Linked DNA regions of Drosophila melanogaster. The protein of the gene in region 1 interacts with the protein of each later gene in a pairwise test. Each region holds a gene or a part of one and is shown on either strand. Other genes may lie near its edges.

The links.
Region 2: the proteins of CG12307 (region 1) and Sp1 interact in a two-hybrid assay, tested with the Drosophila melanogaster proteins (one large-scale study listed by BioGRID).

The regions. Positions count from the first base shown.
Region 1 is NT_033779.5:11,650,706-11,654,085, reverse strand, and holds CG12307 (uncharacterized protein), read left to right. Parts: upstream 1-2,075; 5' UTR 2,076-2,146; coding exon 2,147-2,695; 3' UTR 2,696-2,755; downstream 2,756-3,380. Other genes in the region: CG4983 (uncharacterized protein), read right to left, coding at 328-1,431.
Region 2 is NC_004354.4:9,727,791-9,732,715, forward strand, and holds the start of Sp1 (Sp1), read left to right. Parts: upstream 1-1,857; 5' UTR 1,858-2,093; exon of another isoform or gene 2,094-2,509; 5' UTR 2,510-2,773; coding exon 2,774-2,887; intron 2,888-4,925.

The DNA.
Region 1 (3,380 bases):
TTTGACGCGTCCTTTTTATGTATACTTTATTTGCATCCGCATTTATTTTGCAAAATTGAGCTCACCTTTTTTGCATATTTTATGGGTCAATGCATTCAGAACGAAGTGACCGCAAATTTTTAGCGCATTTGAATTAATGACACTGAACATCAGTAAAAAAAAAAATGATAGACCGCAAATCAGGTTAGTTTTCTCTCTTCTGACTCGTTAACCAAACAGTAAAGTATATTGTAAAAACTTTTAATTTTCGATTTGATTTTTCTATTTAATAGCTAGCAGTTCTCAGTAAATATGAACTAAGAATTTGTTTGTCAAGGAAATGTGTTTCTAGGAAAGTACAGCATCGCTGAACCAAAATGTCATACGATCCCCATCGGTAAGTTTTTGAGGTACTTTGATCGAGTGATTCCGTGCCACGGAGTTGTAACGCCTAAAGTTTTCATTTCCGGCGTTTAGGCGATCCGCCATTTCGGCAGCCTGCTGGTTCAAGGACTGTCTGTAGGATAAAGCTGCTTCCGAATGAATATAGCTGGGGCCATCCTTGGATTCAGGTAGTACATTTGACTTGTTGGTCTTTGAAGGGACACGATCATTCCAAGAGTCTTGCCTTGCATTACTTGTGGCAACAACAGACGGGGCTTGTTCTTGAGAACTGGTCAGCTTCTTATCTTGCATTTTAAAATCGGAATGCTTTGGTTTTGCAGATTTTAGAGATTGTTTCGAGTCTGAGTCAGCAGGATTTAATTTGAAGGAGCGCTGCGTTCCAGTTTCTGATGGCTTATTTGAAACTTTTGATTTCATTGTGGTAGAGGAAGCTTTGGCTGCTTCTGAGAAATGTTTCGACTTCAAAATTGACTTCGGAGTGAGGGTGGTATTTGAGGAAATACTGTTGCCTATTGCAGATCGTTTCAATGTTATGTTCGAAGACTTTGAGGCCACGTCACCCTCACTTTGCTTATTTGTGCAGCTCGTCTTGGATGCCGCACTGAATTGTGATATGGATAATTTGGAATTTGCTCTACCATCACCACTGACCTGACGGTTTGACCTTATTGGCATTAGGGTGCGCAAAGAGTCCTTTGAAACCGCTTCCTTTGATTGAGATACCTTGGACAGCTTCGTTGTTGAAACACCACCCGCATCAATGCGATCTTTTTCATTGAGAACTTCGGCCTGCTTCTTGGCCACGGCCATCTCTTCATTGATGGCCTTGGAAATGTCCACCTCGCCGATAGTCGACTTGCCTATACTTTGGTTGCTCTTCCGGGAAACCAACTCCTCTGATGGTTGTACATATTCGGACTTGGGTACGAATACCGGTGGCGGATACGTAACGCATGTAGGTATTTTGAATTCAGATCGGGCTCCACTATTGGGTGGTCCCACATTGAATGGATTGAAGGGTTCTACGTCGAAGTCATCAGGAAACATGTTGGGTAGACAGGTTGGCAATTTCCTGTGGGACCTACGTGTTTGACCTTAACCTCTTAAACACCCAGAACCCACAAAAACTTACCTGATTCGGATTAAATTTTAGAAGGTATGGGCCAGGATGTGGTAATTTCTTGTGTTTGTGTCGGAAAGCCAAACTATTTTTTTCTAATTTTTGATTGGCTTTTCGATTAAGGCATCTCAAACGAACTGACACAAAAATCAGTTTATACTAGTCTTGAACAATTCCATTAAGGCAATCACTCTGTTTTAGGTTCTTTCTCTGTTATTTGTGTATACATAATTGGTGTGGCCACATGAATTCACATTGTTATTTTACATTCAAGTAATCTTGGTTATCCCTTTCTTGTTTTTCTTTTTATCTCTGACAATCTCGGGTGCCTTCTTCAAGTTCTACTCTCGGCTTAATTAAAAATGACTCCCGCTTCCTAGAGAGCTGACAAAGTTTATCAATTCGGAGTGTACGTGATGATAAGGTCGAAAATCCTCTGAGTTTTTCTTTCTTGCAAATATAGGGTGGTTGCTCAGAGTTAAGCCACATTAATTAGCAGGCCGAGGGATTTTCAAGCGAGTGCTGAGATTCTGTTGTCAGATCTATCTAAATCTCTCGTCAGTATTTTGATCAACTTTTAGGAGTGCGGTTGCTGAAATTCGAATTAGAAAATTCTAATAAAAAAAAAGAGACACCATTACAATGAAAAACTCAACTGTGCAAGACAGTTCACCGCAAGTGCCACAGAATGGCATGGTCACCTATGGCAGCGGGCTCGTCTTTGGCGGGAAAGTTTATCCGGTATTGGTGGACGGAAAGCCAATACAGCCACCCTTAGGTGCTCATCAGGCAGCAATGCAACAGCGCATGCAGATGCAGCAGGTACAGCCACAGGCGCCACATACCAACTGCCCCAAGTCCATTGTCCAACAACCTATATATCAACGAATGGAGACCCGGTATCCTGCGCCCTCATACATGTCCAAGCCAAGCCAACAGAGCTCTGTGAGTTGTCCTGGCCCAGTCATGGTGCAGCAGCACTCGCCGTCTAACAATCTCGCGATGATGCAACCGTTGCAGGCGCAGATTTTACAGCGCCAGCAAATGCAAACCTCCATGGGCAGTCCTTGCGGCTACTACAACCTGCCAACGAATGCGGGTGGTGATTCCTGCGGCTGGGACGGCTATGCCATGATGCAGCCAATGGATGCCAACAAGCCGTATACCTTTGGCTGGAGTCTTACCGATTGAGTCCTTTATCCTCTGTAACATTGTCCAAAACAATTAATGAAATTAAATGTGGATTGATTTATTCGAATTTGTTTCAATCAATGTACGTACTGCATGACTACTGTAAAAGTATTCATCTCTCTTGAAGAAGTTCCCCATAATGGCAGTTACTCGTCTGGGCTTCCATTTTGCACTTCATCGAGCTCTGAGGTTGCCCCTCGTATCAGTGGCACCTCGTTTCGGGGGTTGGTCGTCATTTAGTGGTAAATTTCCGTCTTAGTTGCCAGCGAACGTCAGACGTGACATTTTGCAAATTCCGTTTTCAGCATTTTGTCGAATCGTTCCAGCATACATGTGCCACTGAAAGTGGATTCCCAGCACCACCACCCATTTGCCTATTGATGCAGAGCTGCCGGTGGTATCAGTGGATAGGGGGGAGCATGTGTGGCAAAAGGGTTGTAACTGGTTTTCTAGTGGCTTCCGATTTTTTCACTGGCATTCAGCGACTGTTGTGATGGTAGTTTTATGAGAAGTGTCTAATGCCATTAAAATATTAAATCGTGGATTTATATATTTATCAGAATTTGCTAGGCTTTAAATTAATCGAAGATATTAGTGAACTGACATTTCCGCTTTCACATTGCTTATAGCTTGAGGGTGGAGATGGAAAGGGATGCATCGGTTATGCTATATTATTTATTCTACG
Region 2 (4,925 bases), on another chromosome or scaffold:
TGTTGCATTTGTCCTGCAGCACGGTCGTGATTCGAAGTTGGGCAGCACTACAGGTCACTGTAAGAAACAGGAATTGGAAAGCAATAGTTATCGCTTAAAACACCGGAAAAGTTAAAGTCAAATATTTCTTGTATTTTTATTTATCTTTTATTTATAATCATATTGAAAATTAAAACTAATAATAGGTGTTGGTTATCTTTAAAATTGATTTCATTATCAAGTTATTATGCTCGATACGTGCATACTGATTGGCACAAGGCCCACTTTTCCTCAATTTTCCCGCTGTGCAGAGAATTTCCCGCGGCCAGGCAACTTGTGCTGGGCACACTTCCACATCTCTACTGCCACATCATCCACCTCCATCGACAGTCCGTTGCTGGTTTTTGGACTTTTCAGCTTTTCTCACAGGGGCTGGCGTTTTTCGGCTGCCTGGGCGTTTTGTTTGCATAGAAAGGCCGGAGGGGTGGGGCGGCGAGAGGCGGGGCGGTACAGGGGGTGTGGTTCAATTAGCCCGCTTCTCAGCTGCAGCCCTGAAATGCAACAGCTCGACCGGCAGCTTCCAGCTGTGGGAGGCCCAACTGGCACGGGTTAATCTGGATTGGGTTCCGAATAATCACGACTTCTCGGGATCTTCCAAATCAGAGTCTAAGTACATATGTACATTGTTTTTAGTTTTCCTAAAATATTACTAAAATAACATGCTATGTAATCTTACAAATACTTTGAATTTCGTGAATTTTCTGAAACAGAATTTTCAAATGTGTCAGATAAATTCCAATTGTTAAACCCTTTTCTGCAGCCTTACATCCGGTGAAATCTTCCAAGTATTTGTTATGATTTTCGAACATTCTTAACTATCTATATATATTTAGCAATATTTTCCATTTCTAAACGCTGTGATAAAACCACACCTGGATTTATTTTGCTCAAGCTAAGACCATTTAAAGTCGCAATTTCCAGAGTTAGTCTACTTTTGGGGGCAAAGCTGTTGCAATCTAAGTTTCGCTGGTCTTTTCCAAATTTCCTTTTCTTTAATTTAGTCGTTTTCGAGGTAAAAACACGACCATTTCCCCGCAAAACTCCCTTTCGCTGCGACCGATAGTAACGAAAAGTCGAAATGGAAAACAATTTGTCATCTTGCGTGGATTTTCATTTCTATTCTCATACATATATTTCGTATACCCTTTTGTTTTTCCTACGATTTTCAGCTATCCAGTTCTGGGAAAACAACATTGGCGAACATTTAATTGAACGCAATAGTAGTTGTTGCCGTGTGTGCATTTGTTTTCAGTTTTTAACGCAGGCACGCGATGAAAGAGAGGGCCGCAGGACTGTCGAAAGAGACGGCACGAGGGGCACGTGTCCGTGTGCGTGCCATCTCGCTCGCACAGCGGCCATCGCTCTAATTATAGGTTAGGCCCGTCCGATCTGCCATTGGCCAAAGCGTTCATATAGAGGGGGCTGTGCTCTGGGAACTGGTTTTACCCAAAGCAGCCGGGGTTTTTATGAATGAAACTGGAAGGGAAAGGCGCACACACCACCAAAATACGAATACACGAATGCATATATATATATATATATATATCTTTACCCCTGGCACCCATTCGCACCACTCTAGAGAGTGGTGTGTGTTGTTTTATATTTTGTTGTTGCTGTTGTTTTTGGATTGTCTGTACGAGCGTCTCGCTTGCACTGATGGCATCGTTGGCCCCCACGTTGAATTTTGGTTAGTTGGAGTGAATTTACGACTGTGTGCTATCTCACTCGCACCGCTGCGGCAGCTACGCCGGCAGCGGCAGCGACTGTGGCAGCGTTGGTGGCAGCGGCGACATTTAGACAAGCTTTTTGTTCGCGTGAAACAGTTGCAAGCCTTTGAACGATCAGCGACGACGGCGTTACTTTTGGCGCGGATACAGCAGCGACACTTTTTTTTCGTTGGCAGGCGCCTCCTGTCACCAAACAAACAAATAAATAAACAAATAAACATAAAAACAAACAAGCAAATAAATAAACAATAAACCAACAAGCAAACAAACAAACATAAACAAGCCAACAAGCAGCCAAGCTAAACAAAACAACTGTGTGCATTTTTGGTTCGAGTTTCCTTTAATTTCCATCGCTTATATTTCATTTTTTTTTTGCCTGTGTTCCTTAGAAAAGAAGTCTATAAAGAATAAAAAAAATAAAAAAAAAATTAAGCCCATATATAGGCACAAAATCCCAGTGACAATAAGAGCAGTCAAACATTGCAACTCTCAGCAGCAAACATCAGCCGACGGCCGAGTGAAGAAAAGTGCAACGCCGACGGACTCGAGAAAAGATACAGATACAGATACGGATTATACATATCTGGGCTATTAGCTGGGCCATAATCTGCTCTCAAGCGATTTAGCCCACTTTGCTTTTTTTCTGAGTGCGTGTGTGCTTGTGCTGTGCTGTGCTGTGCTGTGCTGTGCTTGCCAATCCATTTGTCCATGTCCTTTACATCTTTTTTCCCTTACTCTCCAAGATCAGTGAGCCTGGCCTGCAACAATAGTCGCAACAAAGAAAAAAGTAGTTGAGTTGAGCAAGAAGAAAAGAATAGAAAATCGAACCCTAAACCCAAGTGGCCGCAAAACAAAGCAGAAGCAAAACAGACAGCATCATTGTGCGCCTCAAATTGACATCAGCAGCAGCAGCAGCAGCCGCAGCAGCAACGACAACTGCCACTGCCACTGCAGCAGCAGCAACATCAGCAGCAGCAGGAGACGCAGCAGGAACATCCACAGCAACCATGTTAACGGACATGACACCGACCGCCGGTCAGCTCTACGGATCCCAGATTCCGGCCATGGGCATGAACATCAGCAATATCGCCACACACTTGCAGAAGCCACAAGTTAATCCGGTAAGCCGAAATCTCAAATCCCAAATCCGAAGATACCAAAACCGCACCTCGAGATATGTATCTGCAAGATAGGTCACTACAGATACGATTTGGTCAGAGCGTTCTTATCGAAGTGTATCTTTCTTTTAACACTGGGCCTCAATTATGCACACTTACCGTCACTTTACACACAATTGCCATCCATCGAATAGAAAACTATCGACAGCATAGCCCAAAAGTAGTAGATTCTATTATACAGATACAATTACAGGGTGTAGAGATACAAATGTATCAATCTGTATAAGAAATTATAAAATTATGCCAATTATGGTGACCATTACTTTAGATACAATTGTCATGTCAGAAAGTTAATATTTGTAATATACAGAATTACAAGCATAATTGGGTCTTAATCAACTGTTCTAGAAAAACTAGTGTTTTTTGCACCCAAAAACGAAAAATGCCAATGTACTAAGAGCAATTTATTACACCCACTATTCGCTTCGCTAAACATTTCATAGTTATCGCTGCAGAGTTTAGCCCGAAAGTATCTCATAGATACATATGTGGGCTCACTGCGCACAAGTGACTGGCAGGCATTTGCTGACTTAGTCATGATTTGATGAATGCCTCCCGCAGACACTCGTGCACTTCGACATAAATCATTCGCGCAGAGAAGTCAAGAAGTTACTTTACGGCAAGTATTTCTGTATCTCACAGTTGCGGCTGCCAAATCCTTACCAATTGTCGCTTATAAAATATATGTACATACGTACAGTAATCGGACAAATCAGCCACTTACACGGCATTAGCATTGACAATAAACAGCCATAAACAAACAATGACAACAGACGCCGCGGATTTCGATTTGTATTCAGTTACGGATACGATTTCGCATCCGAGGAATTCACAGTAGCGCACACCTTTTGTCAGCCGCTCAGCTGGATTCCTTTTGTGAGGCGATGATGATTGGAACTCATCGGGATTGTTTGGTAGTATCTAATGCCGGGGAACGGGATACAAATCGATTGGACGCGGCTTGTTCAGCCCCGGATTTTTTCACTGTTTTCTGTGTGCCAACGGATTTCACGGTATGCGCCGCAGATACATAGCTGCAGATACAGATACTATTGATAGGCTGAGATACTGAGGTACCAGGTAGGCGCCGTTTGCCGTTTCTCGTTTCTCGCTCTCAAAATCAATTATTCAGGCTCACTTGAGGTGTGAAGCTAACGATGGAATCATTCCTGGGTCTACTTAAAATCTTTTTTTGTTGTTTTTTTTTTTTGTTTCATTTGGGGTTTTGGCAAATCTGTAGAGATCGTATTTCCACGCTGACTTTTCGACTCGTATCGCTTATCGCACAGCGGAAGCAAACACTTAAAGGCTAAAACGCATCAGGCAGCCGTTCATAATGATCTTTTGGCCCCGATCCAAAATTCGCTCATCAATCTCGTCCGGCCTTTGATCTGGACCGAAAAACTAAGACAGATTTCCGCTAATGATCGTTTTTGTACGGCTCCTCCGGGCTTTTGCTCTCGATTTCAATTCGAATTTCAGTTAGCTGATTATGCAAGTCCATCGTGCTGGCCCACATCATATGATATTGGTTCAAAACCCTGTAATTCACAGCAAAAGGTCAGCGGCTAGATCAGTTGGCTAAAAATAATTTGTTAAATTCCCCAAATGAAAACTTTGATGTCAATGCTAGAAGTCATTAAAATCAGAATCAGGGTTTGTAAAGTATTTAAAGAAGAATATAGTGTGTTCTAAAGTGTATACTTTAAAAGTTTAGCCAAACGAATAATTAAATAAATAAATTAGGGTTGATTGTACTTTAGATATACTATCTCTGTTCTGAAGGATTAGCCCGAATCGCATGACACTTTTAATAGAGTCAGCAACGCCAAATGGACGCAATGTGATTGAGGCACTTTCAATCTGCTGCCCCTGGCCACCACCTGCCCCTCCCCCCTCCCTCCTTTCCAACGTTCATTTTTCTCCGATTTTTTCACCTTTTTTTTTTTTGTCGAACCAAAGTGCAGACGCCACGCAATTG